Linked DNA regions of Oryzias latipes. The protein of the gene in region 2 purifies or fractionates together with the protein of the main gene of each other region. This does not show direct contact. Links are inferred from orthologs where the notes say so. Each region holds a gene or a part of one and is shown on either strand. Other genes may lie near its edges.

Evidence for each region.
Region 1: the proteins of usp25 (region 2) and btbd9 purify together in Homo sapiens (affinity purification with mass spectrometry; 3 studies listed by BioGRID and IntAct, counting the BioPlex papers as one, with this or other methods). This does not show direct contact. The link is inferred for Oryzias latipes from reciprocal best matches to the Homo sapiens genes USP25 and BTBD9.
Region 3: the proteins of usp25 (region 2) and kctd10 purify together in Homo sapiens (affinity purification with mass spectrometry; 4 studies listed by BioGRID and IntAct, counting the BioPlex papers as one, with this or other methods). This does not show direct contact. The link is inferred for Oryzias latipes from reciprocal best matches to the Homo sapiens genes USP25 and KCTD10.

The regions. Positions count from the first base shown.
Region 1 is NC_019882.2:593,355-603,638, reverse strand, and holds the start of btbd9 (BTB/POZ domain-containing protein 9), read right to left. Parts: upstream 5,036-10,284; 5' UTR 4,798-5,035; intron 4,685-4,797; 5' UTR 4,682-4,684; coding exon 4,497-4,681; intron 3,868-4,496; coding exon 3,504-3,867; intron 3,081-3,503; coding exon 2,813-3,080; intron 2,739-2,812; coding exon 2,519-2,738; intron 2,453-2,518; coding exon 2,333-2,452; intron 2,264-2,332; coding exon 2,154-2,263; intron 1,956-2,153; coding exon 1,766-1,955; intron 1,692-1,765; coding exon 1,584-1,691; coding exon of another isoform or gene 1,520-1,583; exon of another isoform or gene 1,485-1,519; intron 1,393-1,484; coding exon 1,314-1,392; exon of another isoform or gene 1,302-1,313; intron 1,104-1,301; coding exon 912-1,103; 3' UTR 1-911. Other genes in the region: polypeptide N-acetylgalactosaminyltransferase 14, read left to right, coding at 9,626-9,763.
Region 2 is NC_019872.2:2,552,354-2,562,537, reverse strand, and holds part of usp25 (ubiquitin carboxyl-terminal hydrolase 25), read left to right. Parts: coding exon 1-165; intron 166-2,159; coding exon 2,160-2,398; intron 2,399-2,484; coding exon 2,485-2,555; intron 2,556-2,622; coding exon 2,623-2,851; intron 2,852-4,564; coding exon 4,565-4,831; intron 4,832-5,099; coding exon 5,100-5,239; intron 5,240-6,558; coding exon 6,559-6,735; intron 6,736-7,043; coding exon 7,044-7,139; intron 7,140-7,985; coding exon 7,986-8,164; intron 8,165-10,053; coding exon 10,054-10,132; intron 10,133-10,184. UniProt on the Homo sapiens protein: Deubiquitinating enzyme that hydrolyzes ubiquitin moieties conjugated to substrates and thus, functions in various biological processes including inflammation and immune response.
Region 3 is NC_019867.2:13,220,731-13,231,014, reverse strand, and holds kctd10 (BTB/POZ domain-containing adapter for CUL3-mediated RhoA degradation protein 3), read right to left. Parts: upstream 6,168-10,284; 5' UTR 6,053-6,167; coding exon 6,050-6,052; intron 5,109-6,049; coding exon 4,895-5,108; intron 4,812-4,894; coding exon 4,642-4,811; intron 3,689-4,641; coding exon 3,602-3,688; intron 3,496-3,601; coding exon 3,443-3,495; intron 3,353-3,442; coding exon 3,157-3,352; intron 3,069-3,156; coding exon 2,850-3,068; 3' UTR 1,882-2,849; downstream 1-1,881. Other genes in the region: myo1h (unconventional myosin-Ih), read left to right, coding at 1-20, 96-179, 278-371, 446-501, 572-707, 777-847, 1,018-1,115, 1,189-1,288 and 1 more; ube3b (ubiquitin-protein ligase E3B), read left to right, coding at 7,121-7,281, 7,371-7,488, 7,945-8,004, 8,102-8,206, 8,298-8,394, 8,485-8,570, 8,693-8,775, 8,887-8,992 and 5 more. UniProt on the Homo sapiens protein: Substrate-specific adapter of a BCR (BTB-CUL3-RBX1) E3 ubiquitin-protein ligase complex. The BCR(BACURD3) E3 ubiquitin ligase complex mediates the ubiquitination of target proteins, leading to their degradation by the proteasome.

The DNA.
Region 1 (10,284 bases), on a different chromosome or scaffold from region 2:
CAGAGTGGCAACGTTTAATGACACAGCCTCACAGAGTGACGTCATCATGACGTCACAAGGAGGAACCGTCAGGAGACAACCTCAGATGAATGCAGCGCCTCAGAAACGTCACGTACGAAAGAGGAAATTACAGAACAAGAAATAAAAAAAACATCAGTTTTTAAAACATCTGCCAAAGGAACCAAACCGGTTCCCAGCTTCTACATCACAGTCTGACCGGAACTAAACCCGGTTTATTCATTCAACCATTTCATTTAAATACACGTCTAAACCAAAAAAAACGCCACTCCAAGTGTTTCAGGTTTTAGAATACATGGACTCAAAGTGCAAACACACGCAGGACGCTGATGCACAGCAGCTTCATTCAAAAACACAAACAGGAAAACTTTGAACGCGGTCAGAAGTGTCACTTCCTGCTGGTTCCACAGTGTGAAGCTGCAGCTTTCTCTCTGTCCAGAGGGGGCGGGCCGTCCTTCAGAACGGTCCCGGACCACAACCTTCTGCTCTCATCACTCACACAACTATCGGCAAAGGTTTGTGTTTTCTTAGCAAAGCAGTGTTTTATTGTGAAAGTCTGGGATTTCCTGGATGCGTTTTGCACTCGGGTATTTCCTACAAAGTACTGAGAAAACGGCTTTGCTGACTGGACGATATGAAATATTCTTTTCAGGTCATTGTTTAGAAAAACATGTCTGATGCCATGTGACCCCTCCCCCCGCTGGTCTTTCCTGCGGCTGCACGCTTCACCTCCATGAACCGTCCACACTGACCAGGGAAGACGAGAGCTGCGCTCCACGCTGCTGTGGCGGAGCGTCCGGCAGCATCGTAACAGTGCAATCTGAGCGGTGGAGTCTGTGCAAAAAGCACGGCAGGTGCTGCAACACCTGTCTGCGGAAGGGGAGGGGCTTCTTTCAATGGAGAGGTGCAGAGGAGAAGGAGGAGGAGGGCTGGCCGGACAGCAGACTGTGGGAGCGCGAGGCCCGCTGGGACCGCTGCTGCTGCGGGGCGGCCCCCCCAGAATCCGACGGGTCCAAACCCGGAGAACCTTCAGTGACCTCGGTGTCCAGCTGGGCCGGACACTCAAAGTGAACGCAGTGGAACACCTTCAGGAAACGCACACAGGGCATCAACACACGTGCACACGTACGTGCACCCATCGGGCATGTCAAACACCAAAGGGCGACCCCCCCACACACACCCACACACACTCCGCCTGTTCCACCGCTTGTTGCCTCCATTCTTTTCCTGATCTACCCCCTCTCCCTCTTCTGCCCTTGCTCGCCCCTGTGGGGCAGGTGCAGGTGAGACGTTACCTCGTTGGCGGTGTTGTGAGTCCCGACGATGCGGATGAAGGAGGCGGGCTGCTTATCAAAGGTCAGCGTCTGCCAGGATCTGAGACAGAGGAGGAACCACATGATCTTCATCAGACACGCAGAAACCTTTGATGCTTTCCTCACGTCTTTGATCTGCTTCACTTTAACGACCTTTCTTTGATGTTTTTACACAAATCAATTATTTATTAAGAGGTGAAAATCCATCCCGAGTCTGGAATCAAAGCGACGAAGATGAAGGCGACTCCGTACCGACACGCCACCTTGGTCCGGTCCACCACCCGGACCCAGTGCTGCTGGTCGGTGGACACCTCGATGTAGTAGCTGTAGGAGCGCTCGTCGCAGTCCCACAGCAGCAGCCTGAAGCAGAGCGGGGGAGGGTTCTGTCCGTCAGAGCGTTTCAGCAGACCGGCGGGCGTCAGGATCACATCTACCTCAGAGAGCCCACGGCGTACGGCTGCGCCAGCTGGATGACGATGGCTCCGGAGCCCAGCTGGTGGCAGGTGTACCCCGAGTCCCAGTCATAGTTGCGAGTGTCACCGTTGAGCAAGGCATTTCTGCTGCGGCTCACGCCCTCCACGACGCTGGCACAGCAGGCGGTGGTGGCGACGTTCTCCGCAGGAACTGCAGGTGAAAGCAGCAGATGAAGGGATGGACTCCATCAGCGAACATTTGATCCGTGACATGACTCAATCCCCCTTCAACTCCAGAAAAATACCGTTTTCATGTAAACATTCAGGATTCTGCTCCTCCGTTCTACACAGTAAATCAAACCGGACCATAACCAAAGCGGTTCTCGGAATCGGAACCAGTGAAACTTACCCAGAAGGCCGTTCTCCAGCGTGAAGGAGCGGCTGGTGAACATGCACTCAAAGGCCACCAGGTGGAAGACCTTGTTGACCGTGTTGTGGGTCCCGACGATGCGGACGTACCTGACGGAGAAAAGCTTTTAGTTTCTTCCTGCAGAACCGGGCCGCTCGTTCCTTCAGAGTCGGCTTCACCTGCAGACTCGTGGCGTGAAGTAAAGGTTCTGCCACGAGCGGCACAGGTGCTTGGAGTGGTCCACCACCCGCACCCAGTCCAGCTCGTCCATGGACACCTCCACGTAGTAGGAGTACGAGCTGCGGACGCAGCAGGCGTTAAAAGCAGAACAGCGGAGAACGTCTCCACTGACGGCAGCTCCTTACCGGCTGTCCCGGTCCCAAAGCAGGAGGCGGATGTGGTTGATGATGGACGGCTGACCCAGCTTGACCTCGATGCCGGCCCGGCCGTCCTCTTCGATGGGATGTCTGGAAAAGCCGTGGTCCAGGTCGTAGTTCTGAGTGTCTCCGTCCAGCAGCGCCGACTTCAGCTCGCCTTTGACCACCTGGGCTCCGTGCTTCATGGTGGCGAGGTTCTCTTCCGGAACTGAAATGATTCCAAGATTCCTGCTGTGAGTTTGAGGGGCAGGACCAAAGGCGGCGACGGAGGCGGGGACTCACTCAGCATCCCTCTGTAGTTCAGGTCCATATTGCGGCTCTCGGAGCGGGTCTTGATGGCGTCCAGCAGGTCATCCGGACTCACGAGGCCAGAAGGTCGCACCACGTTCAGCATCTCCGTCAGCGTCATGAGCGGCAGGCGCACCACTGACATCACTTCCTGGGTGTGGTCTCCATCCTGGTGGTGGCGGCACCAGCGGCACAACGCCTGGAAGATGTCCTTCTCCGTGGCAGCGAAGGAGTCCCGCTGGACCACGGTGAGCAGAGCGACCTGCACACAGCCCCCCCATTAAGAGGAAGTGAGGACACACAACCACCTGCTCCAGAGTACCATAGGCTGACAGCAGGAAGGGGCGGGGCTAGGACATGAAAGGCCTCTAGAGAACTCGTTCTTTGAAGAACCACAATAGAAACAAATATTCCATGTCTCTGTGGGTTCAACAAATATTTACACATTTGAGACCAAAGGAGAAGAAACGTCTCTAGGATTGAAGGAAGGAATATGAAGCCAGCTTTAGGAAGAATTTTTACAGGAATATACAAGACAGATGAAAACATTTGTATCTAGAAGTTCTTCTGTTTGAATGTTTGATCCGGTCTCTGATGAGCTGCAGAACCGGTCCAGGTGATACTGATACTTTTCCTCACACTTCAGCTGCATTCGTTAGATTAATATGTATGAACAGGAGTTTACCTTGGAGAGCGTCAGGAACCCGTCTGAGTTCAGCACCTCAGGGGCGTGTCTGTCCATGTAAGCGCAGCAGGCTGCACTGAGCGCGCTCAGACAGTACAGGCAGGCCACGTCGAACACCAGGCAGACGTTGTTGATGTGCAGGATGGTCCGCAGGAAGTCGGAGGTGGAGTCTTCCAGAGGTTGGAGGCCGTACCGGTGAGCCAGACCCAGGAAGTCCAGCAGAACCTCTTCCCGGGCAGAGCTGAGGCTGGCCCGGCCCGTGTACAGGTAGTTCAGCAGCATGGAGAAGGCTTCAGCTCGGGTCTCCTCCAAACGCACCTCGGCCTGGGGCTGGGACTCCTTCATCCCACCGAACAGCAGGGCCCTGAAGGGGCCACGCCAACATTAATGTGAAGGACACTTGAACGCCCCGGAGCTCAGAGCCATTAGATCCATCAGACCCAACGGATCCAACCGATCCATCAGGTCTAACCAGTCTATCGGATCTAACGGATCCATGAGACCCAACAGGTCAATCTGAGCTAACAAATCCATCAGATCCATGATGCAAACAGAACAGAAAGGAACAGTCAGAGTCAAATGACCTTAAAACAGCCTCTTTACCCCCCCGGGGGCAAAGACCATGACAGGAAGACACGTGTCAAACTGATCTTTCTGATCACTTCATTGAATAAACGTTTGATTCTGTCAAAATACTGATTCTTATTTCCTTGATTTAAAGCTGTCCTCCAGAATACCAGGCAATAACCTGTATCTAGAACCACATAATACACAGTGGTGGACCATAAGTGTTGTTAGGAACGCTCCACCTGTCTTCTCCCCAGAACACAGAACCCCATGAATAAATATGATGGAGAACCGTATGGATCCTGAAGAACCTAAAGTCCTGAAACCCGCAGGAACGTTATGGGTGAACTCTAGAACGATGACGTGAGTAAACGTCCCCGTGCGCTCTGCGGGTTCTCCGTCAGACTAGAACCGCCGCTTGTTTACCTGAAGTAGTGGCAGCGCGCCGCCAGGATGACCCGGTGCGCCGGGAAGCGCTTCCCCTCCACGATGAAGGTGACGTCACTGTACTCCTCCCCGAGCACCAGCGCGCCCAGCTGCTCCGACAGCAGGTGGATGTGGTCGATCTCCGACACGGAGGCCAGCGGCCGCAGGGGGTGGCTGTTGCTCATGGTCTGCCGGACACCAGACGTTAGCTCCCGCTAGGCTAACCCACAGCCACCGTCAGGAAGCCACGGAGTGATGCTTCACCTCACGCTCACCGCCGTCATTCGCCCTCCAAACTTACCCAGCAGCCACCGCGCACCTCCCTTACGAACGAAACTTCTTCCAAAAGCGCCACACAGATCAGATTTTAAAGAAATAAAAAGAAAAACAGCTCAAAAGAGCCGATCCCTCCTACATCGGAGCAGCGGAAACGGATGCTGGCCGACGGACATCAACTTCCGGTTCTTTGACGTAATTCACGGTTCTTTATCGCCCCCTACCGGAAAAGAGGATAAACAAAGATTTCTTCATCGCAACGTATCACGAACGGCCAGCAGAGGGCGCTGTTGTTACTGAAAACGTCCTTGATTTTCTGAAACAATCTGAATATTTTTTTGAACTTTATTGTTCAAAACAAATAGAACAAATATGCATGACAAGATCAATAGTCATAACAATGCCAGGGGATGCTACATGTATTACAAAAGAAATTTTACAAAAACACATTACTATGCATTGAAAATGTATAGTAATGGTATAGTATGTATGGTATAAATAAATGTATCAGATCTACCTCAGAGAGTACGAGTAAAGTATAAATGTATAGTAATATAGTAAATGAAAACTTACCTAATAAATATAATTAGATTAATTGCTACTTTTATGTTTGATTTTATGTTCTTTTCATGTAGGCCAAATATGATATATTCAAATTTCATCTGAAATTGTGAGTCTAATTTGTGATTTATAAAACGTGCAAAATAGGTGCCTGATTGTTTTCTGGTTGTTCTTTTACAAAAGGTACAGTTGGAGTCGATTATCTTATTATATTGTAGCGACCTGGGGGTTAGCCCCGCCTTTAGCCCCTAAGACTCATGGGAAGTGGGGAGTTTTGGGGGGGAAACCTTGAGTGAGAGGGCTGGAAGCAGAAGTGACCTCCATGTTGTTTGGGCTGTTTAAGTGTGGTTGAATGAACTGACCTGATCTAGAAAAGGAATCTTTGGTTCTTTTCCTGTTTATTAGTCTTTGAGACTGTCCGGCGTCTGCGGTGTATGAGGCACAGACAGCTCTCCAATGAAGCCTCTTCTTTAGCAGCTTGACCTTGCTTCCCCGCTAAAGTGACGTCCCGGTTAGGTCGTTCCAATATCTTAGCATGTATTGATTAGTGGGATAGATTCTATGTAGATGTTTGTAGGAGACATCTTTCATCTTGTTATTAATTAGTCATTTCTGATGCAGGCTCCAAAAGTTTTCCAGGGCAAGTCAGAAATAGATTTCTCTAGTAGAAGACAGCAGAGGAACCGAAATGACATTTTGCTGAAACAGGTATGATCTTGTTATTCTTTAGTTGAAACACGATTTTCCAACATTAGTGTCACTTGGAGATAATCTAGCCACAGGGGTTGCAAGCCAGTTACTTCTGTGCCGGTCCCAAGCCCGGATAAATAGATAGGGTTGCGTCAGGAAGGGCATCCGGCGTAAAAATTGCCAAAATAACCATGCGAATCATCCACAAAACTTTAGACATGCCGGATCGGTCGAGCCCCGGGTTAACAACGACCGCCACCGATGCTGTTAACCTACAGGGTGTCGGTGGAAATTTGACTACTGTTGGTGGAAGAAAGAGGGGAGGCAGAAGGGTCCGTGGCCAGAGAGAGAAGGGAAAAGGCAGGAACATAGGTTTGAGAATAGGGACTCTTAACGTTGGCACAATGACAGGGAAAGGCAGAGAGCTGGCAGACATGATGGAGAGAAGGAAGGTAGATGTACTGTGTGTGCAGGAGACAAGGTGGAAGGGCAGCAAGGCACGTAGTATTGGAGGAGGATACAAACTGTTCTATCATGGTGTTGATAGGAAGAGAAACGGGGTAGGTGTGATTCTGAAGGGGGAGTTTGTAAACAGTGTTCTAGAGGTGAAAAGAGTCTCAGACAGGATGATGAGCCTAAAGTTAGAAATTGAAGGGGTGATGGTGAATGTAGTCAGTGGGTATGCGCCACAGGTTGGCTGTGAGTTAGAAGTGAAGGAGAGATTCTGGAGTGAGTTGGATGAGGTCATAGAGAGTATCCCCAGAGGAGAGAGAGTTGTTATTGGAGCAGACTTTAATGGGCATGTTGGTGAGGGCAACAGAGGTGATGAGGAGGTGATGGGCAGGTTTGGTGTGAAGGAAAGGAATCTGGAGGGACAGATGGTGGTGGACTTTGCGAAGAGGATGGAAATGGCTGTAGTCAACACTTACTTCCAGAAGAGAGAGGAACATAGAGTGACATACAGAAGTGGAGGTAGGAGTACTCAGGTGGACTACATCCTATGTAGACGAGGTCATTTGAGAGAGGTTAATGACTGCAAAGTGGTGGTAGGAGAGAGTGTAGCCAGACAGCACCGCATGGTGGTGTGTAAGATGACTCTGGAGGTCAGGAAGAAGAAGAGAGGGTAAACAGAAAAGAAGACCAAGTGGTGGAAGCTACAGAATGAAGAAACTTGTGAGGAATTTAGGCAGAAGTTGAAGCAGGTCCTGGGTGGTCAGGATGAGCTTCCAGAGGACTGGGAAACTACAGCAGAGATTATCAGGGAAACAGGTAGGAAGGTGCTAGGTGTGTCATCTGGAAAGAGGAAAGACGGTAAAGAGACTTGGTGGTGGAATGAGGAAGTACAGGAATGCGTCCAGAGGAAGAGGTTGGCTAAAAGGAAGTGGGATGTAGAAAGGACTGAGGAAGGTAGACAGGAGTACAAGGAAGCGCAGCGTAGAGTGAAGAGAGAGGTGGCAAAGGCCAAACAGAAAGCTTACGATGAACTATATGACAGGTTAGACACAAAGGAAGGAGAGAAGGACTTGTACAGGCTAGCCAGACAGAGAGACAGAGATGGGAAGGACGTGCAACAGATAAGGGTGATTAAGGACAGAGATGGAAAGGTGCTAACAACCCAGGAGAGTGTACAGAAAAGATGGAAGGAGTATTTTGAGGAGCTGATGAACGAGGAAAATGACAGGGAAAGAAGGGAGGAAGATGTGGTTGTTGTGGAGCAGGAAGTAGCAGAGATTGGAAAGGATGAGGTTAGGAAGGCTCTGAAAAGGATGAAGAGCGGAAAGGCCGTTGGTCCTGATGACCTACCTGTGGAGGTATGGAAGTGCTTAGGAGAGACAGCAGTGGAATTTCTAACAAGGTTGTTCAATAGGATTCTAGAGAGTGAGAAGATGCCTGAGGAATGGAGGAGAAGCATTCTGGTTCCGATCTTTAAGAACAAGGGTGACACGCAGAACTGCAGCAACTATAGAGGAATAAAGTTGATGAGCCACACAATGAAGCTGTGGGAAAGAGTAGTGGAAGCCAGGCTTAGGAAGAAGGTGGAGATCTGTGAGCAGCAGTATGGTTTCATGCCCCGTAAGAGCACCACTGATGCCATTTTTGCTTTGAGAATGTTGTTGGAAAAGTACAGAGAAGGTCAGAAGGAGCTGCATTGTGTGTTGGTAGATTTAGAGAAGGGACGGCTCATGTTGCCTGTGTTAGCGACAAAGTCAGAGAAGCCAGACTGAGATGGTTTGGAAATGTTCAGAGGAGGGATAGTGGATATATTGGTAGAAGGATGTTGGAGATGGAGCTGCCTGGCAGGAGGGCAAGAGGACGGCCAAAGAGGAGATATATGGATGTCCTAACAGAGGACATGAAGTTGGCTAATGTTAGGGTAGAAGATGTTCATGATAGAGTGAGGTGGAAAAGGATGATTCGCTGTGGCGACCCCTGATGGGAAAAGCCCAAAGAGAAAGAAGAAGGAGTGTCACTTAGAGATAAGAAGGAGATATTTTCATCAAGTACAGTATCTTTAAAGAGTTCACAGATTTCAGTAGTAAGTAACTGCATCAAAAACAATAGCATACTCTTTTGGAGGAACAGCAAGGTCACATTTAAGGTTAAATTCTTCATGTCTGAGGAAACAATCTGAATATCTCAACCCAAAAAGCGATAGAAAAATAAATAAAATAAAGCAAAGCGATAGAAACAATTGAGAACATTTTTTATTCATGTGACACATCCAGACAGACGGACGTTTTCTATTCGGACTGATGTCGTTTGTGTTCGTCATCATTCGGGTTTATTTTGGGACGTCAACCGAACTCTGACCCAGAATCCGCAAGTTCTCTGCACGAACGCTAGATGGCGCTCCAGCCAAACAGACAAAAGTTTTTCTGGGTTCGCTTCAGTTCTGCAGGTTCTGTTCGGTGGGAAGTTCAGTGAAACGGACTTTTTATTCACATTTTTTTCACTATGATCGTTTTTGTTGTTTCATTCTCGTTTTTTAAAACGTTTTTATTTTATTTCTGTAACTTTCTCTGGTCAAACATTCAGAACCAAACCGAACAGAAACAGAACCGGCCGCCAATAGAAACATGACCCACAAACGTTACTGTCAGGGTCTCTGGGCTTGTCGGTCTTCCAGAACCTTCCGGAGAACCACAGCTTTCATGCGTGAACAGAGTTCGGTTCTGGAGAAGCCTCTCCGGGTCAGTACTCACCGGACTCGGCAGGTGGCGCTCCTCCACCTTTCCTCGGGCTCCACTGCCGCGCGTACCAACACGCACGAGCACGCGCAGGTGTCCTCTTGAGACTGTGGGTCCTGTCAGACCCTCGCGACTCACTTCCAAACCGAACCGAGCGGGACTTCCTGTTTGTCAGACTAGAACCGAGCCTCCCCGCGCGGGTCCTGATGGGAAACTACCGGGAATGGTCACCACACGCGCCCAAACGCCTGGCACGCACGCGGACGTGCTGTCAGGCGTGTCTTTGAGACGCTCGCGCTCAGAGTTGACAGAGAGCTCGCGCCGATTCAGCTCTCTGAGCTCCGCGAGCTCACTATGGAGCTGTGACGGCGCGCGGGCCGAAGCCACCGGCTCTTCGCGGGCGGAGCGGGAACGATGCGCGCGTGGCGGAGGCTCGCGGCGCTCGCGGCAGTGCTGGTGTGGCTGGGAGCGCTGTTTTACCTGCTGGAGCTGAGCCGGAGGAAGTTACCGGAGCCCGGGGGGGCCGGAGGGGGAGAGGCTGCCGACAGTCAGGTGAGTGCGCGAGGAAAAGAGCGCGTGGTGCTGACTGGAGAACATATGATTGATCTGACGTTTGTCTGATCAGCAAACTCATCGATAGATGGAAATTTGTCCTGATGAAACCAATAACGTCAGAAACAGGATGCAGTGGGGGAGTCAGGATTCATTTATTGATAACATTTGTCTAAAAAAAAGTCATAAAGTCAGAAACAGGATGAAACAACGTCTGTTGTTTAGGTTAAACTGAAAAAAAACGTCGGTTTTTAAACTCCTCTGTAGGATCTTCATCAGGGAATCTCTGAGGAACACTCTGATGACCAAACGTCCGTCAGTTCTCAGAAAGTTCATGTTCCTCATGGAATCTGTCTGGAGGTCAGCAGGTCAACATGGTCCGTCACCGGCCTTCACAGCGCTGCTGGTTAGAACTAAAGCTGCTGAAGTGCTCACAGTGCATGTACGTGCACGGTTTCCTGCTGGGATTTGTTAGCAGGTATGAAAGCCCCCCAACCCAAAGTAGGGGCGGGGGGGCTTCT
Region 2 (10,184 bases):
GTATCTTAGTTACGGTTCAGGCCCCAAGAGGTTTCCTCTGGCAGATGTCCTCCAGTATGCCATGGAGTTTGCCTCCAGTAAGCCTGTGTGCACCTCCCCAGTGGAAGACATTGACACGTCAGCGCCCCCCGGTGGTGCAACAGGACAACAGTTGGCGCCACCAAGGCAAGTTCACATCGATGCATTCTAAACAGATATGTGCACAAACACACACTGAACACACAAACAAAAAATGCCAATACAGTGTGGAGTTCCTCAAGGCTCGGTTCTGGGGCCATTATTTATTCTGTACCTTAAAGTTTGTTTGTTTCCTTACTGTCGAAAACAATCTTGTTTGTTGTAGAGAACATTTTGGAGGAGCAGCAGAACAAGAACCTACTCATTTAAAAGTTGATCTGGTCTGAATAAGTTCATATTAAATTTAAATAAAACTAAGTTTATAGTATTTAAAAATAGAACAATTGACGCTAAAAAGACAATTATGATTAATGATCAAGAAATTGAAAGTGTCGTAAATAAAATGTAATGAAAACAGGAGTCAGAGGAAACATGTAAATGACATAAACTGTAAAATATCTAAATCAATATGTGTTCTTCACAAAGTTAGACATTTTTCAAATCAGTCATTCTGGACACGGTGTTTTGTTCTTTCATCAACAAATTAAATGATTAGAATTTGGAGACCTGATTAATTTAACAAATATTAAACCATGTTCAAAATGACCAAAGACTTTTCCATTTAAGAGATAATAAATCCAGTTTTAGAGGATCAAATATGTTAAACTGTTAAAGATTCTAAATTTCACTGTATCTCCCTGAGAGGGGTTCAGGTATGGAAACTGCAGGATAGACGGTTAAAAATTGTCAACCCATAAAAAAATGAAAACAGCTATAAAACATATAAAAATACATGTGAGGGAGTCGACAAGATTTTTGGATATGTATTTTTTCTTATATTTTTGTCGTTTATTGATATACTTTACAGTGATTAGTTTGTATTACATCAGTTTGAAATCACTATTTTTATAATGAATAGTAAAACTGATGTTTTGCAGACTTGACGTCAACAATGAATTGCATATACTTGTAATTTAATTATTGTGAGTTTGTAAAATTAGTCAAAACTGTGGATTTATGTTTGCTAAATATATAAACTAATTCATGGATTGAAGCCAGTTTACAGGAAATATTTCTATGATCTATGAACCAATGACACAACAGAAAGAGGAGATCCAATGTTTAGTGGTTTTGTTGTGAGTCTGCTCTCTGTACTGTAAAAGACGAGTTTATAACAGCAGGAGTCACCATGGTAAAGGCCCGTACACACCGGGACGAATATTCGCCAGCGTTTTTCGCCACGTTTTTTGTGTTCACACCCAGGCGATTTTCGCTGACGATGAGCCGAGCGAACATGCAATTTCATTCCCTGACATTAGATGGGGCTTAATGTAAAACAGAAATACTCCTGTACACAAGGTGGCGCTGCGCAACTTTAGGCTTCTTAAAGTCGCTTTTCCCTCAGAAAAAGAAAGCAAGTATTTACGCGCTTGTCAGAATAATTCAAAGAAAACATGAATATTTCAAGCACCAGTAGCTCCAACTGGTGCTTGGTTCGGGGATATTATAGAATGTCCGTCATTATTTCTTCGCGGCTGTGTAGACGCTACTTGGCGTCTATCTTCTTCGCTGGTATGTGTGCTCAGAAAGGCAGTTTTGTGTTTGAGCGCCCCCAAGTTGTGTTTTACTGTAACTTCAGAAGCTCCAGACACGTGTGCAAAAGCGCCATTCTCATTGGTCGAGTAGATTTAGAGGCGACGCGTCAAACCAAAAAAACGAACCCGAGGCGTTTTTTAAAAAGTGACGCTTTGACGCGTGGCGTTTTTTCGCGTCGGTGTGCACACTCACATTGGTGCCCTTTGTCTAGTCACGAGGCGTTAAACGTCGGCGAAAATGGCGGGCGAAATTCGTCCCGGTGTGAACGGGCCTTTAGTGCGGGCGCTGCAGCAACAGATTCTGAACCGCGTACTTCACTGAAATCCTGCAGATTTCTGCACGCCACCGCCATGCCGCCATCTTTGTCTGAAAACCGCAACCTCACAGTGTTGTAAATGTATTTTCTGCCAGTCCTTTCACCATCGTCACCGTTTCCCCCCCAACAGCACAGCTGAGCAGGACTCTGCTCCCCCCCAGGACAGCTCCGGCCCGGCTGCGGCCCCTGCTGCTGCCCCTGGCCCGGCTCAGCAGCAGAGGGTCTCCGTTCATAAGCCTTTCACCCAGTCCCGACTACCTCCAGACCTGCCCATGCACCCCGCCCCCCGCCACATCACAGAGGAGGAGCTGCGGGTGCTGGAGGGGTGTCTGCACCGCTGGAGGAGCGAGGTGGAAAACGACACCAGAGGTGGGTCCCACAGGACAAGATGGAGCCTGAAGTCTGGTCTTGTTGTTCTTGACACTGTGCCCCCCCCCCCCCCCCCCCCCCCCCAGATCTGCAGGGCAGCATCAGCAGAATCCACAGAACCATTGAGCTGATGTACTCGGACAAATCCATGATGCAGGTGAGCGGCTGACATCCAAACACTCAAACCGCTGCAGGACTTCTTTAATGTTCCGCTGCTTTGTCAGGTTCCATACCGACTTCATGCGGTTCTGGTCCACGAGGGCCAGGCCAATGCGGGCCACTACTGGGCTTACATCTACGACCCCCACCAGCACTGCTGGATGAAGTACAATGACATTTCAGTCACCAAGTCGTCGTGGGAGGAGTTGGTCAGGGACTCGTTTGGGGGCTACCGCAACGCCAGCGCCTATTGTCTGATGTACATCAATGACAAGAAACCCTTCCTCACTGAAGGTACAGATCCAGTGGGGGGCGGGGGCGCTCTGTGTGTCAGAGCCTCAGACTTCAGCTGTTAAAGAAGGTTGAGTTTAGTTTGAGGTGTCGTTAAAGGAGGCTTTTCCTTTTCTGGCCTTCAGTTCCTGTTCTCAAGTCCTCTGTTAACACAGGAGTTCTGTTCAGTACAGCACAACCAGAATCTGATCCCCTCTTGGTTTCCAGGGACATTTATCTTTTTTTTGGTGAGGGGGGGGGTTTCATTTATGAGCCCGAAACCTTTTTTTTTGCATCTTATTGGTTGAATGCTATAAATCCTTCAACCCATTGTTTGTTTTTCTTTCTTTTAGTATATTTTGCCATTTTTTGCCGTTTAAGTCCTTCTACAAATTTTCAGCTATTTTAACCATTCAACTATTCAAATGTTCAGCTCTTTCAGCTTTTTGCAGCTATGAGTTTTGGTCCTTCAAATCCTTGAACTTTTCAAGATATTCCAGGATTATGTGGATTATATGTCCTTTTCAATATTCCTGGTTGGTGGTGTTATGGCATGAGACATGCACTTTGGTGCACGACTTCACCAATTTGATATCTGGAGCTTGCATTTTTCCACAAACATATCTTTTTTATTATTGTGCTGTTTTCCCTCTATTAATGGTAAACTTTGAGCATCTCCATCTTTCTTGTTTTTTTTTTCTGCCACATATTACCCTTTAAGTTTAATTTTCATTCACCAATATAGCATTCAACCCTGCATTTTCTTCTGGAAATGCACCTCCTTCTAGTTTTTAAAATATCACCCTGTACCCTGTATAACCAAAATGCAATGACAAACCTCAGTTTTCATGTAAGGGTTAATGACAGACTAGTTGTGTTTTATCAGAAGAAGCCTGAACCGTCTTTTTGAGGGATAATGCACACTTCAAAGGCCATTAACCTGCTCATACCATGCTCACTGACAAAAAAAACAATATTTAATCATTTTTTAGGACTTTATTCTTGTCATTTTTCTCAGTTTGGATCGCTCAATCTATTTGTTTCATGGTGCGTTACGTTGTCACGGTAACGTGGCACCGCTCCGCTTTGCCGGCTGGGCCAGCACGGATCTTGGATCACCTCTTAACGCTTCTTTTTTTCCAGATGATGAAGCTAAAGGTTGTTTTAAAGAAGCCAGAGCAGCGATACAGAACAGTTGAGCTATGTGACCGGAACTTCTTTTTTAGGTGTCCATTATGTAAGGGTTAATGGCCGACGAAGTGTGCATTATCACTTTTTAACGCACGCCGTGAAAGCCTTCGCGTCGGACGGTTGCTTCAGCAAAGTGCGTTAAAAAGTGATAATGCACACTTCGAAGGTCATTAACCCGCTTATACCACGTTTACTTACAAAAGCAATACATAGGTACCAGTTTTAAGTCTCTGCCCAACCGTTAAGCTGACTTACTGTGGCGGCCCCTAACGGTGGAGGCTGAAAGGCGGAGGAAAATCGTTTTCTTGACTTCATTCTTAATGCTCTCACTATGATCTATGAACCAAAATCGCTTCTTTTCTTAAAATCCTACATTGTGTTTTGCCGGATTCTCTTTATTTATTTATTTTTTTACAAACTGTCTTTCACAGTTGAAGCATCAGTGACTGATGGATGCTTTTTGGTTCCATTTTTCCATATTGGATATAGTCGGACGGCTGAACAGGGCGGTCCCTCACTTCTCCCTCCTTTGTCCTTCTCTTGCAGAGGAGTTTGATAAAGAAACCGGTCAGATCCTGAGCGGCATGGACAAACTGCTTCCAGACCTGAAGCAGTACGTGAAGGAGGACAACGAGCTGTTTGACAAGGAGATTGAGGAGTGGGATGCCCTGCAGGCTCACAAGGCCCAGCAGGAGAAGCTGGCGCTTGCCGCCGCAGCAGCAGCTGCTGCAGCTGCTGCATCATCCAGCACCTCCACCTCTTCTCCATCCCCACAGCCCATGAGCATCGAGTCCAGCCCCCCCGACAATGCAGGTTAGTGACAGAAGACTCAGCAGAAAAACCAAACTGAGCATGAATCAGCATTTCAGCTCTGCTCTCTGTATTTTTAGAAGTCTTATAGCTGGAGGGTTGATGCCCCATCACATTCTGAGAAGGAGACTGTTAATGTATGATCTGTTTCCACTGTCTGTCTTGAAAAAGTGATGGTTAAAGCATAAAAAATGCTCTGTGATGCTTTGGGATGCTGGATAACATCAGTTTTAGGACACACTTGTCTGATGGAGGCTTTGCTCCCCTGCAGCCCCCCAGCAGGACCCAGAGTACATGGAGCAACCGTCTCCAACCAATGACTCCAAGCACCTGCAGGAGGACACTGAGAGGGCCATCTCCAGGGCTGCTGCTGAGCAGGGGGAGAGGGGGCCAGAAGCCCTGTTAAATGCTGTATGTACCATGCAGACACAGCACCGCCACCCATCAGCTGGAAATGACTCACTTTACCCCCATGATCACTGTCCTACTGTTTATGAGCAGCTTTCAGCTTTATATGAACATGAACACCACACAGTAGTCCTGACTAAACAGGTCAAAATAGAAAAAGCAAAGAAAGTTTTCCTGCAGCAACTTTCCTGATCCACAGTCTGTTCCAAGCAGAGCAGGCGTTTCTGCACAGACTGTGTGCAGAAAGACCTACTGAGCTGCAGGAGCTCCAACGTCTAGTGTGTAAAAAGAGTAATCGTTCTGCAGCCAAAGTTATTATGATTTATACCATGGTCTGGGTGAATACTCTGTTCTGATTGGCTGCTGGGTGTACGTTAAAAAGTGATATACCACAGTGATAACCGCACGGTGAAAGAAAAAGTTCCGGCCACCTAGCTTAAATGTTTTGTATTACTGCGCCGGCTTCTTTAAAACAACCTTTAGCTTCATCATTTGGACAAAAACAAGCGGTAAGAGGTGAACTTTCTCTCTGAACTGATGCTTTATTCAACCCATCGGAGAGATCAGCACATATATATCGCTTTATATCGCCGAATCTTGACTGCAGCGGTGGTGCGGCGCGATGTGGATGCCGCACCACGTAACAAATAGTCAGCTTTTTGTGAGAAAAATGATCCAAATCGGGGGAAAAAAAAGAATTAAGGACTAAAAACTGGTTTATATTTATTGCTTTTGTAAGTGACCATGGTATAAGCGGGTTAATGGCCTTCAAAGTGTGCATTATCACTTTTTAACGCACTTCGAGGAAGCAACCGGAGGGCGCTTCAAGCTTCCACGGCGTGCGTGAAAAAGTGATAATGCACACTTGGTCGGCCATTAACCCTTAATCCTCGGAGATGCTGCCAGCAACACTTAAAAAAAAACAATGCTCTGACATATAACCTATCGTTCACATCAACATCGTGAGTCATATGTAGAATGTAAACACTGGAGCTAAAGCTCTGATGTTAAAGTGATGAAAAAATATCAGCAAACTGAAACATCAGAAAGTAGATCTGTGACCTCTGGACACACAGACGGTTTCCAGTCTTTCTTTTACTTTGAAGCATAAATTTCAGCTGATGAAAATCCAAAGCGTTGTCAAAAAAGCTGGAATCCTGTGAGAAGGTAGACCTGGGGGCCTTGGGGGGGGTGGTCGGTCTGACGCGACCCTGAAAGCAACAGAAGCAGGACATGGAGATGCCCTTCAGCCCCTCCCTGTTGGCTCTAGTTCTAATCCTTCCAGTCACGCTGCTGTTTCCTCTGTCGCCCTTTTTCCACAGTCGCCCCCCCATCCCTCTTTTCTTCAGCCAGAGACCCAGATGAGCGCCCCCCCCAGCCCTCCCTGTGAGCAGCAGCTTGCAGAGGAGGAGTCCCTAGGCCAGCGCACAGTAGAGGTGGCCATTCCCAACGTGGGGACGTTTGTCATTGAGTCAGAGGAGGGGGGGTACGATGACCAGGTGTGAACCACAGGGGAGTGGATCTGCTGCTGTGTGCTGACCTCAGCCTGAGGATGTCATTCACAGACACTAACACCCCCACTCCCCCACCCCTGCGTTTTCTGAAGTTGCTCTGCATCTGGGGGCGCTCGGCTTTTTGACAGACCTGTTGTGTTGGGGCTCTGAAGCTTCATTGGGGTCATTGCTGTGTACAGACCCCCCCTGCCGCTCTAACAGTGCATGGACGGCTGGTGTCTGCATGCTCTAACAGCACAGATCGCCGTGACGACCTGTTGTTGTGTTTAACGCGGCTCCTTCTTCCTGGTTAGACGATGATGACCCCCAACATGCAGGGCATCATTATGGCCATTGGCAAATCCAGCAGCATTTATGAAAAGAGCGGTCCTGAGGCAGCCTTCTTCAAGGTACTCCCTCTCTCCTTTCTGCCCCCCCATTCCACTGTCATTCTGCTGTGTTTGCTCATGTCTGACGCTGTTCCTCGGTGACGTAGACGCTGAGTGAAGCTCTGCCATCGCTCAGAAAAACACCCAACTCCTTTTGCTATCTAGCTTGATCCACCCGTCTGCAGTTACACTTCGGGTGGGACTGAACTTTCACATTCCACCAGAAATGACCGAAAGTCACACAAAAGTGTCGACTCGGATGAGCTGCAGAAGTCCAGACTGTGAGCCTGATCTACACTGGTCCCACTGCAGTGTGTCTCCATAAAGTGAAACGTTCATGAATCAATCAGAAGGTTTACATTACAAACATACTCCGTCATGTTTGCGTCTGACGCTCATCCTTCTGCAATGAAAGCTTCCCATAGCAGCCATTTCCAGTCCATTAACGCGTCAATTTTGTGGTTAAAAAGCCAGAAAAACATTTGTTGTACTTCAAAAATATATACCATTTTATTTTAGAGTTAAGGTGGCGTCCCAACGGTGACACCATAAATGACACCAGCATCCTTTTTGCCATGGACGCTGAAAGTTTAATATAGGTCGTTCATGACAAAAAACAGACTTTTTACAAGGACTCAGTGAGGAGAGGGTATGGGGGCTAAACCCACCCCTCCTCTGGAAACCGGGGGGGGGGCTGGAGACGCAATGAAGTAAAGTAACTGACGGTGGTGAGACGGACTCCCAACGTAATGCAAGAGCGAGACGCCGCAGACAGATCAGCGTGAATCCAGCGTTAGTCCTTCCAGAGGTTTGAGACTCCGCCCCACCTCAGAGCCTTAACCCCTTCCTCTTCTCTGTCTCTGTCAGGCCATAAAGTTGGAATACGCGCGACTTGTGAGGTTTGCCCAAGAAGGCCCGACTCCTGAGAACGACTACCGACTACAGCACATTATCGTCTACTTCATCCAGAACCAGGCCCCAAAGAAAATCCTGGAGAGGACTCTGCTCACTCAGTTTGCTGACAGAAACTTGGCCTTTGATGAGAGGTGAGTCAGAAGTTTCACCCACGCCAAGAACTAGAACATCTCATAAAATCCCTCTGCTTCTCCCTTCATCAAAAAAGGTATCAGATCAAGATAGTTTATTCTGACCAATAGAATGACTGACTGAATAACTGCTGTTTACTTCTCTGTGGAAGTCTACAGCATTTCAGCTTTTTGGGGACCCTCTGGTACTTCCTTTTCTGAACACCAGGGGGAGGGGTCACTCAGTCCAGTTCTATTTTACAGTCAATGGTACATTTATGAAGAACACCGACTTCACTGAAGCGCCTGTTTAAACATGTTTGCATCACAAACTGCTGTTTTGAAAACAAGTCTTGGACTCCAGCAAAGTTCTTCTTATTTAATGAGTTGATCTTTAAAACCTATGAGCTTCAGACGGCAGAAATGTCTGTTTCACACATTAGTGTCAAACAGTGGTTGTCCTCACAAATGACCAGCAGAGGGAAGCAGAGTGTCCACAGCAGCAGCTTCTGACAGTCTATAACAGGGGTCGGGAACCTTTTTGGCCAAGAGAGCCATAAACGCCACATATTTTTAAATGTAATTTCGAAAGAGCCATACAATAATGTAGTGTCCTTTTCCCACACTGAGACTTAACCTCTTTTAAGGTTCTTTATTCTGGTTAATGCAGGCTGTAACAAATGCCGTAAATTAATTCAGCAGCTCCTGAATCTCTCCCGCCGAGACGAGAGCGCTTCTCCCAACTTTATATTCCCCTGCTCCCGCTCCAGCCCTCCCATTTCCCTTATTCGGCCCATAGCTGAACCCCATTGGTCCAAATTAACTAACAACAGGCTGAGCGACAGAACTGAGAGCCAATCAGATCTCTGCTTGATGCGTTCAAGGAACTCCAGAACTTTTAACGCGGCCCAACAGCCAAGTTAAACTCAGTCCGCGACAATATGTTTAAAGCTAAATATACAAATGAATGTGTGCATTTGATATAATTTCAACACTTTTAAAGGACAATAAGTCTGTGGATTATTTTTAATAACGTTGTTATTCTGTTGCTAATAAATGATCAGTATTTCTCGTGGTAGTTTTGCTGATGGTCTAGTCTGGTTGATCCGTGGTGAGTTTCTGCTTCATGCAGGCGTTGAGACTTTAAACGTGATCGTAGGTCTGAATGTTCTGTAAATGTGAGACAGACTGCTCACATGCAGACGGGGAGTCAAACACACACTCACACACTGCAGTGAGTGACGGGCAGCAGGTTTTACGTTTTTACAATCCCTGCGCGATTCACCTTACTGACCGAGCCCACAACTCCACCCCCACCCTCTGCTTTCTCCCTCTCACATCCCGTCCCCGCTACTGCGCGCTCTTTCTCAGAGACGGGGGCGCGCAGTTTTAGGCACGGCAATTCACAGGTTTCCGGGTGGTACAAACTCTGTGAAATAATAGATAATAGTAACTGATAGCGCTGGCGCAGATTTCTCTCTCCAAGCACCGCTACTACTGTGCGCCTCTGGCATCGCATCGCGCCCGAGAAGGACTGGTCTAATGAAAAATAAAAAAATAAAAATGTGTCTGCGAGCCACATGTGACCATCAAAAGAGCCATATATGGCTCGCGAGCCATAGGTTCCCGACCCCTGGTCTATAAAGACGCAAACAAAGAAAAGATAAACGAGGCGTGTGTTTTAAATGTTGTTCCCTATCTTCCCGTCTGTTGAAACCTCTCAGATGGTTGGCTTGACTTCCTACTTTGAGTCAGATACATAGATTTGTGTGTGGATAAGAGCCTCCAGGAGGATGCTTCAAATCTCCTTCATGGCATCTCAGAAAAGTCCATTTGGTCATGTTGAGGCCTTGAGTCGAGAGTCTCACCTATGAAGCCCCTAATGCTAACTGCTGCGTCCTTCCTGTCAGGTGTAAGAGCATCATGAATGTGGCGCGTGCTAAACTGGACCTAATCAAACCCGAAGAGGTCAACATGGATGAGTATGAGGTGAGAAATGCAGCAGTGGCTGATCTGAGCTTTCCTTTGCAGCATTGGTCTC
Region 3 (10,284 bases), on a different chromosome or scaffold from region 2:
CACCCTCCGTGGTCAAAGAGGTAGTGGAGCATTTTGTGTTTTAAACAAGCTGGGTTCTTTTTTCCTGACTCTGTGCATCCTTGTTGTTTTTGAAGACCTCAGAGATTTTGCGTAAGCTGCACTACCGTCTGATGGTGAGGAAATATGTGAGAGGACTCACACCTCAGAGGAAGGCACAAGTAAGATAATTAAAATGATCATTTTAGGGTAAATCCTCTATAAATTCCTATTTATCTTGACAGATTTTTTTAAATATTTTACTTTTATTTTCTAACAGCTTCAACTGAAACTTGTCACCAGCACCATTTTTAAAGGCAACAAGGACAGCTATCCGCAAAGTGTCCCTCAGCCTTTTTTGGAGACAAGAATAAGTAAGTCTCCAAAACTGAACCGCAATACCATTTTATTCTTTAGGAGTCATAAATATGAAACATGTTTTCTGCAGGTGACCAAGAAATCAACCCAAAAATTCTGCAGACAATCCGCAACGAGCGGATTAAGGTAAACAAGTGATCAACTGGTTTGTAGACATTATGCAGGAATTCCCATGTTGTGTTGTCTCTTTCTGCAGTACAGTGTTCCAGTCATTAAATATGACAGAAATGGCTTCAAACCAAGACCCAGGCAGCTCATCCTCACTCAGACTGCTGCCTATCTGATTGAGGAATCCAAGGTCAAACAGAGATTGGTGTATGCGTCTCTTAAAGGTCAGACCTATAACATTTTTTATCGTGTTTTCTTCGAGTGGTAATACAGTTACAGGCATCTCTTTGCAGGGATTTCAGTCAGTAACTTGACAGATGGAATTATTGTTCTGCATATCAGCAGTGAAGACCCAAAACAAAAGGTATGTCAATATAAAATATTTGGATTTATAACTGCCATTTGCCAATGTAACACAAATTAAATTATTTTTTTAGTCTAAAAAGAAAAGACTGACTTGGAGAAACCAATAACAATGGATTTTAGAAATAAAATAGTCTGTGTGGCTTTTCTGTTTCACCCTGGTTGTTTAAGGGGGATCTGGTTATCCAGTGTGACCATCTGTATGAGTTCTTGACCAAACTCTGCGTCATTGCTAACAAACAGAGCGCAGTCCGAATCGTACAGGGAAGGTGAGTCTGCTGAGATTTAAAAACATGTTTTTAATTTCATGTTTGCACTAATTTCTTTTATTATTACTGCCAGCATAAAGATTGAAATCCAGGCAGGAAAGGAAAGTGCAGTGGACTTTAGCACTGGGCAGGAAGCCATGGTATACAAAGCCAAAAATGGACATCTTATGGTGGTGAGTGAAGTCAGTGCAGTGAAATAACAGATGCACTTCTTTAGTTTAATTGAAATCTTATCTGCAAATCCAATAGACGGCTTCTGTTTGTCACCACAGGTTGCCACTCGAGCAAGGGTGAGGTAGGTGTGTGCATCTGAAGAAGAAACTCAAGGAGCCCCTGCATATTTAATCAGGAGACCCCTTGGCAGATGATCAACACCTGACCACAGATACCTGGAGGATCCAATTTGAGTAATTTGTTTAAAAAGAGCTCATTTGTCAGCAATAAATTTGATTGAATACCTTTTTCCATGTGTGGTAACACATTACATGAAACAATTATATGCAAGTGCTTGGAACTAGAATAAGCGCAAGTGTCCGCTCTGTGATGCCCGTAAATTGATGATTAATCCAGAAAGTAACGCGCTTTGAGATTGGCTTCCAGGTGGTACTAAACCCTCAGCTGGTTTAAATGAGTATGAAACACTGATACTTGCCAAAAACACGAGACAAAACCAACAACAAGTTTTAAAAATGTTTCTTTCCCCAAATCCAACTGTAATCATCTGAAATGTTCATTTATAGAATAAACATTACAATTTAAAACAAAATTCTTTGTACAAATTTATTCAATATAAGGTATAAATATAAAACACACACTTGAGTTCATTTTTGTACAACCTACTTGTGAGAACTGCAATGAGACATTTTAACTTCAACCTTTAGTTTGCAAACAATACATTTTTTGATGAATGCAATGATGAAAGCCGGGTCTAATTTCCCTCCCTGTTAAAAGCTTGTAAACAGGGCTCCTTTCCTGCCAGGAAGATCTCCAGTGACACTCACTCATTACATCATTCAACCCAGAGCACTCAACACACAAGAGTCAGTGTTCAGGTTTGCTTTGTAAAAATATGACTTGTTTTGTGGACTGAAAATACAAATAACCGAAGCTATACAGTGAAACGATGCATCAATTGATATCTTAGTAATATATAATTTTTAATTTTAGGAAAGCTTACTATCTGGCAGGCTACAAGGTGGGCCTTGCTTGTAACTTGTGAAACAGTGCCCCCGTGTGGCCTCCAAATGAACAACAGCAGCTTCTACAGACTTTCTAGCAAAACCCAAAAGAACCAACTAGAAAAAAAAAACTGAACCATTTTCATTTCTTCTTCATCTACTTCATTTAGATATTGTCATATAAATATACCCCCCCTTTAAAAAATATACAAAATAAATCAAAAACTAATAATACCATTAAATAAAAAAAAAAGACTTATACTGTCAATTCTCGCTCACTCACACAGGCTGGTGAAATTGTTTGCAGACATGCACACCTCTGAGCTCCTGCTGTGGCTAACATACGAAATGCTACAGCTTAAGAAGAAAAGACAAAGAAACAAAACACAAAATCACTCCATCACTAAACAGATCAAATTCACTCTCATTTCCTTCTCGAAAAGGCTGATAAAAGAAAGGAAGTCAGAAAGTGAAGCCCTCTGTGTTATAAGGCACAAGCACGGCACACAGACCATCCGAGCTCAGAAATGCGGCTTGGCGAGTCAGAAGAGGAAAGTCACTGATGGTGGTGAGTGCGGTCATCTGGACGTTTGATATGAATTCTACGAACTCGTTCTATTCGTTCCCGCTCTTCTTCCTCGTCCAGATGGTTAGATCGGCCGGCGGCGCCCCCTGTGGCCTCCAGCAGAGCATTGTCTGGACCTCGTCCGTCGTGAGACTCATACAAAAGGATATTGAGAGTCTCCTCATAGATTCGTGCTTCAGGAAACTCAACCTTTGTATAACAAGAGATGCAATGTTATTAAACTCAACGGAATTTCTTGCATAAAGAGCATAAAAAAGTGAGGGGCCAGTGTTTTTACCTTTGTCTGTTTCTTTTCTGTGGCGTACACAATGGAAGTGCAACACACTTCAGCGATCTTCCGACCCTGGCCGTAAAACGACCAGCAACAGATCTCATCTCCAATCACATCTTTGATGAAAAGTACTCGGCCATTGAACCGCAGAGACAGCTTGTCAAACAGCTCAATATTCTTTAGCATGTTGTCATCCGAATTGCTGGAGAAGAGCATCAAGCATGATGTCAGAAGGCGACACACTTTATTAATGAAATGGAAGAAAATGTGTTAGAAGAAGACGGGGACTCACCTGGTGTATGAATATTTGTTGTTGCTTCTATTATATAGCAGCTTTACAGTTGGCTGTAAAAAAAATGAATAAAAACAAAGTTTGTTCACTAAATAGAACATCTAAATAACAACTAAAGACAATTGCAGTCTGCAAATGATACAAGAAAATAGAACTCACCTTATTTGAAGTTGCAATAAGTCTCTGCTCTTCTTTAGACGATGTCATCAAAGGCACTTTACATAGAGGTTCATATGTTTCTTTGTTCTGGAAGAAAGACATTTTCATTAAAAAAAGGAGAAAAACTAAATTTAAAAAAACCCTGTCATAAGCCAAGAAGCTGTAAATTAACTAAAATAAATCTATGTTGTAATTCAGATTAACCATCGTGCTTAAAAAATTTGTGGAAAGAAGTGAAAAAATACAAACAGGTTATTTGCAACCTATTTTCAAATGGCGTCTACTTATACAGAGCTTCTCTGTCTGTATTAAGGCCCAATGCATTTCATGCTACGTTTACGCCGGGGTCACAGATGCGTGTTCAAGTGACCACTTTCAATGAACAGTCTGTGTAAACGCGTATATACGCCCTTCAGGACCCTGCATACACGGGTCCCTGTGCAAGTTTTTACATTCATCTTCGGATTCTACATACAAGACCAGTGAGGCACATTGAAAGTTAAACCAGTTGAACCTTGACCAAACTGGGAATAGGATTTGGTCGTGACGTCTGGGTAGCGTTCCTTTCAACTCACGGAAGTACTACCCATTTGAAAGTTGATCATGACGGAGATATTAATAACTGTATTTTCTGCCCAGCTGCAATTATGACACCAAATCTTTCATATATCAGCATAGAGCTGTGAAAGAAAATGCTGGAAGCAAAATTCGTGAGATTTGGACCATTTTGCACCAAGCCTCTTCTAGCTGTAAGTACATGGGGTGGTTTGGGGTAATGACAGTCCACTGTGAACACCATTGCAAAAAGCGCAAGAATTCCAATTTTGTGCATTCTTGAATGTACATCACAGTCTCAAGTCCCATTTACACACTGATGGTGATAGAGCTGCCATGCAAGACGTTAAGCAGACCACAAGAAGCAATGTGGGGTTCAGTGTCCTGCCCAAGGGGACATCCAATACATGGGGAGCCACAGTGGGAACTGAAACTGCAAATTTCCGGTCCTGATACTTGTTAAAAGACAAGTGTTGGAATGGTACCTGCAAGGCAGCTGTGCATTCATCAGAAAGTCCTTGAACAAGGTAGTACTTGGCCTCAGCAAGCAGTTCCTCTGTTTCTCGACGGCTGTCTGGCAGTGGGACAGCCCCGTCTCGTAAATAGTTAAGGATTGTTCCAAAGTGTTTCCCACAGCGATCAATTAGGATCCAACCTATCATAGAAAAACGTTTAGAGTGTAACACAGCAAAAAAAGCAGCGGTGGCAACAACAAATCAAGTTTTATTTAAAGCTCACCTTCACTATCTGTGAGCACTTCCATTCTGCCACTGAACATGGCTTTAAGCATTGTGTCCTGCTTTGTTAGTGTCTGCATTGTAGTGTAGTACAGCGCTCCGCCGACATTTAACTTCACATACTTTGAGCTGGGGCTGGATCCTTTGAAGGACGCTGTTCGTGTTGTAGCTGCCGGCACTGCCGAGCTCACCACACTCTCTCCTGACATCTCTTCCTGGAAGAGAACAAGTCAAAACAGTGATTACAGTTTGGAGGACAAAAGCTAGAAGACAATCAAGTAACTGATAACCTCCTCTGCCTTCCCTGAAAAGCTTTTCAATTTAGAGGAATATCAATGTTTTTGCAGCTTAATAGGTATCAGACTAGAATATAACCTTTATAGTATTGAGAAATTGAAAATGCCTTTGTGTCATAGTATTTAAAAACCAAACTATGCATATAGGATGAAGAAAAAAATGTGGAAATATATATTTTATATTTCCAAATATATATATATAGAACGAATAAGAAAGTGAATAAAAAAGGCTGACAAAAATGCAGATTCAACATATGTATAATACCTTTTTGGCTACTCTTGACAAAATTAGTCTATTATTTATTATTAAGTTGTGATCATACAATTTATCACCATCATCATCTTCTGATATTCTTAAAGAAAACTCTAATGACTAACTATTTAAATTATGTTATAAACAATTACGAGTTTGTCCGCCAGATAGGTTTTAAATTACTCATTTAATTTATCTACAGACAGAGATATTGATACAGAACAAATATGAATCGACACACCTTATGAATAGTGTCTGATGTTCTCTGTAACATTACTGACACTTAATGATAAAAGAACAATTTTTAAATAGCAATAGTTACATTACCGATTGCATTCCAAAAGTGAAAAGTATTCACTGTGGCATGCCTGAGACAACTGTAGATCATTTTCTTATATTTTATTTTTCGCTTTTTCTTGCTTTTAAATCTTTTACACTTAGTTATCAAAGAGCAGCCTACACGGTCATTAGCGAGCTTGTTAGCATCAAAGACAACCAAAAGTTTAGTTTAAAGTGGAAACTAGCACAGAGTAAAAACAAGTATTTCATACATAAATATATAACGGTGTTAATATTTGGTATTTATGAAAAACAAAAAGAAGTTTACCATAGAACCCACAGCAAGCGTCCGAAATGTAAGCTGCTAACCTTTGTCAGCTAACACCCACTTCCTTCCGGTGCTCCGCTGCGCAGTTAGAAAAAAATGACGTAAGCAGCACAGTTTAAAGAAACAGAAACTTTAATGAGGGGTAAAACTGTTATACGTGTTTTACCAGCCTAATGAAAAATAATTAATTTTACACTTTAATCATTAACAATAATGTACGTGTAAATTATAAATGAAAGTAAAAAAACATATCAAGGCTACAAACGCCTTTTCTGGATGAAGCTTGATGGAGTAACAATGAAAAGAGTCCCCTGGTTCAGATCCGACAGCATAAAATTATTTTTAAAAAGATACTACTAATAAAATCAAAACAATAATAACAAATAAATAAGTATGTGTATCCCAAAACACATTTGCTATTATCTAACTTCACACAGTAGATTCTATTTCGGAATAAAAAAAAACAACATAAAAAACTACCCGGAATCAAAAAAATGTTGAACGAGGGATTTATGGCTGCAGTCTATGCAGGGATCTTTTCTCTTTGTTTACATTTCAGAACAGTGCATTCCATACGTTAAAGAGACTGTCATCGGTACAGTGTCAGGTATTATTCCTAAGTAAATATTATACTTAAAGGTTTTAGCGAAAAAACTATTGCGGTGTTACAATCAAGACGATAACTTGCGAACTAGCCTGTAGCTAATTGTTATTACTCTGTTTTTCCTGTGCCGATCCCTGCTTTAGAAGATGGCAAGTTAGTATTCGTGTTTTGTTAGACTTTATTTTCAACATGGATATCAAGGGAAGTCAAGTGATTGAGAGGATATAGCGACAGATGAGGCTAAAAGCCAAGCAGGATCACCTCACCTTCACAATCACACAGGTAATTGCTATGTTAAGCTTTTATTCATGCCACTTGAACAAGCAAACTTCTTTTTTTGTGTAATTTATCTCTTAAAGACTGCCTTTACACCTTCATCAATGTGCTATTACCACTGTCTTGGTGACACACGGTTGCCTTTTAGGTATATCAGCTAGTCTGCCCTTTCTTTTTTCCTAGACTGAACAATGTTTGGTGTGCCTCAAAGCTCCAAGTCTGAGTTCCTGGACAAAGCCAGGCAGGCCAGAGAAGAAAGGAAAGGGCAAAAGGAGAAAGAAAAAGCAGCAACCCAAATTCAAGCTCTAATAAGAAGATTCTTGTGTCGCTGCAGGCTGCAGAAGGAATTAAGGTGCAGCTTTCAGTTTTCACTGTTCTATCCATGTTCTATACTGTTCTATACACATCATAGTTTTACTTTGTAATCTTATGTGTTCACAGGAAAGAAGTCGATGATTATTTCCAAACTTCTGAAACGGGAGCAACAAAAAGAAATGCACTTTCAATTTTTAAAATTGCTCGGAAATTACTTTTTATCTTTTGCCAGGAAGACAAGATGGTAACTTGCCTAAATATTGTCTCACAAAAACATTTGCAATAAATCAAAGAATTGTATCAATATATTAGGAACAAATAGCAAACTAAATCAGAATTTATCTTCATGTCAGTAGTGTCATCTTTGACTACCTGTTGGATTTCTTAGCTTCGCTTGGTACTGTTCAATTGAGGATTTAAAAAAAGGATTTTACTGTCAATAAAACAGTTTTATTGCTATTATAAGTTTCATTAAGGCAGAAAAATGTTTCAAATTTTTTCAAATTTTCCATGGTTTTTAATAGACTATAAAATATGTTTGCCAATACTTTTAGTAGTATGATCCAAATCCTTAATATTGTGATCATATAATGATTAGTTGCTGCCTTTCCGTAAGCATTTCAATCATTTTTGAGTGTATTTTATTGATTTTATTTTGTCCAGTTTTATGAATCAAACAGTTTTCATCCATTTGTTTCAGAGATTTGAAAAGCTCTGTCGTGCTATCTTAGCCAGCATGGAGGTGGAAAATGAACCTAAAGTGAGTCTGCTTTCATTAATTCTTGAACATTTTAAAAATATATATATTTTCCTTGAAATTTTTCTGGAGGGACTGATTTCTCATATTTGGCCCTTAGGTCTGGTATGTTTCTCTGGCTCTATCCAAGGATCTCACCATTCCTTGGCTCAAACAAATCAAAGATGTGTTGTGGGTTTGCTGTCAGCTTCTGAAAAAACTCAAGGTTAGTCTAGCCTAAAATCTATAAAAGAAGTTTTAATATTAATATTTTCTATTTTAATGGTACTCAAACCTTTTTTTTTGGCGATTCTTAGCCAGACATACTTCAAGACAACAAGTTGATTACACTTTACCTCACAATGCTGGTGACCTTTACTGACACAACAACATGGCGGATAGTCAGAGGGAAGGGTGAGTTATGAATCTAAATATGTCTGTGGTTATTGCAGGTCACACACTCTTACTTCCCACAGATATTTAATTTCCCTCTAATTACTGCAGGGGAAGCCCTCAAACCGGCTTTGACGAGGATTTGTGAAAACATCATGGGCCATCTCAATCAAAAGGGTTTCTATTCCGTACTACAGGTTCAACATCATAGTTTTACTGAGCGATTACAATTTTGCTGAATAGTCTTGCTTTACAGCATCAAATGTTTGTAATTTTATTTAAAAAACAAACATCTTTTGTGTCAATCTTTTAAATGTAGATCTTGCTGACTAATGGCCTGGCTCGTTCGAAACCGTCTCTTTCCAAAGGCACCCTGACAGCTATTTTCAGCTTGTCACTGAGGTCAATTGTCCTTTTCGCTTACGTTTTGTTTGACCCACTTTTCTGTGTTATTTTTTTGTTTTGGATAAATGGTTTGTGGCTTAATTGTGAACTAAATCCAATATTTTGCAGGCCAGTCATTGCTGCCCACTTCTCAGACAACCTGCTGCGATCATTCCTCATTCACATCATGTCAGTTCCTGCCATTGTATCGCACCTCAATGTGTTAACCCCAGAGGTAACCTTGTGCTGTTTCTTCTTGATGTACATTGGAACTTTGAGCAATTATGTGAACAATGTGATTTTATTTTGTCCTTTGGCTCAACAGTGCATGACATCCATGCAGACGCATGACATGCTTCGGAAGTTTATTTTATTTCTCAGTCGGGAAGAACAGTGTTTGGACATCTGTGTGTGTCTTGAGGGCAGCCACACTCTCTGCCTACTTGGTATATAAATATAATAAAAGTGGATTAACAGTTTTAGCCCTGTCCTGCAGCCTGTCAACAGTTGCTTTTGTTTCTCATATTCTACAGGCAATCTGATCTACCTGGGTTACCTTAACGAGAAGGTCTTAGAGGAGGAGGCTAACCATTTTGTGAAGGACCTGACCGACATGCTGTCCTACTGCCAGAGATATGTATCGCAAAAGAAGTCCAATTTAACCCACTGGCATCCTGTCTTGGGCTGGTTTTCTCAAACAGTTGATTATGGGTTAGTGAGAATAAAAACCATTTATCAAGCTTACTGTTATAGAAAAAACAAAAAAAAAACAAGTTCCTTATTTTTCTTCATTGTTATCATCGATATTTAATGTCCAGTCATATAATAAGAAGCTGTGAAGAGGCAAGTGACCCCATGTTGAAAAAGAATTACATATGTTTTTTATAAAACCTGGTGTTTGTGGACCGAATGATAATACCTGTACCTGATAATGCCAACGTTTATGCAAAATGCATCATCTTAAAAGTGTCTTCTTTTGTCTTTAGACTGAATGAGTCGATGCCACTGGTCACTAAACAGCTGCAGCATCTTTGGGGTGTGTCAGTAATTCGGACACTTTTCAGTGATGTCCTGTCTAAAAAGCTGGAGAGTCAGGAGCCCACTCCCCCACCCCCACAGCCAAGCACTTCACAGAACAACCTACCAGTCAAAAGTACAAAAGACACTCAATACTCAAACACAATTATGATGTATTTCACTAAACATTGGTGAATAAGGCACGTGACTGTGTTAACAGGCCTCTTCAAAAGAGCATTTCAGAAGTCTGCATCTGTCCGGAATATTCTGAAACCCGTTGGGGGGAAGCGAGTTGACTCAGCTGAAGTTCAGAAGGTGTGCAGCATCTGTGTGCTCTACCAGACCGCTCTTTCCACACTAACACAAATACGCCTTCAGATCCTCACCGGTCAGTAGCAAAACCTGAGCCTTTTGCAATTTATGACAAGCACGAACAACATCCTGTATTTCACATTATCTCCTACCTTTCTGTTCTCTGCAGGTCTGACGCATCTCGATGACCTTCTACCC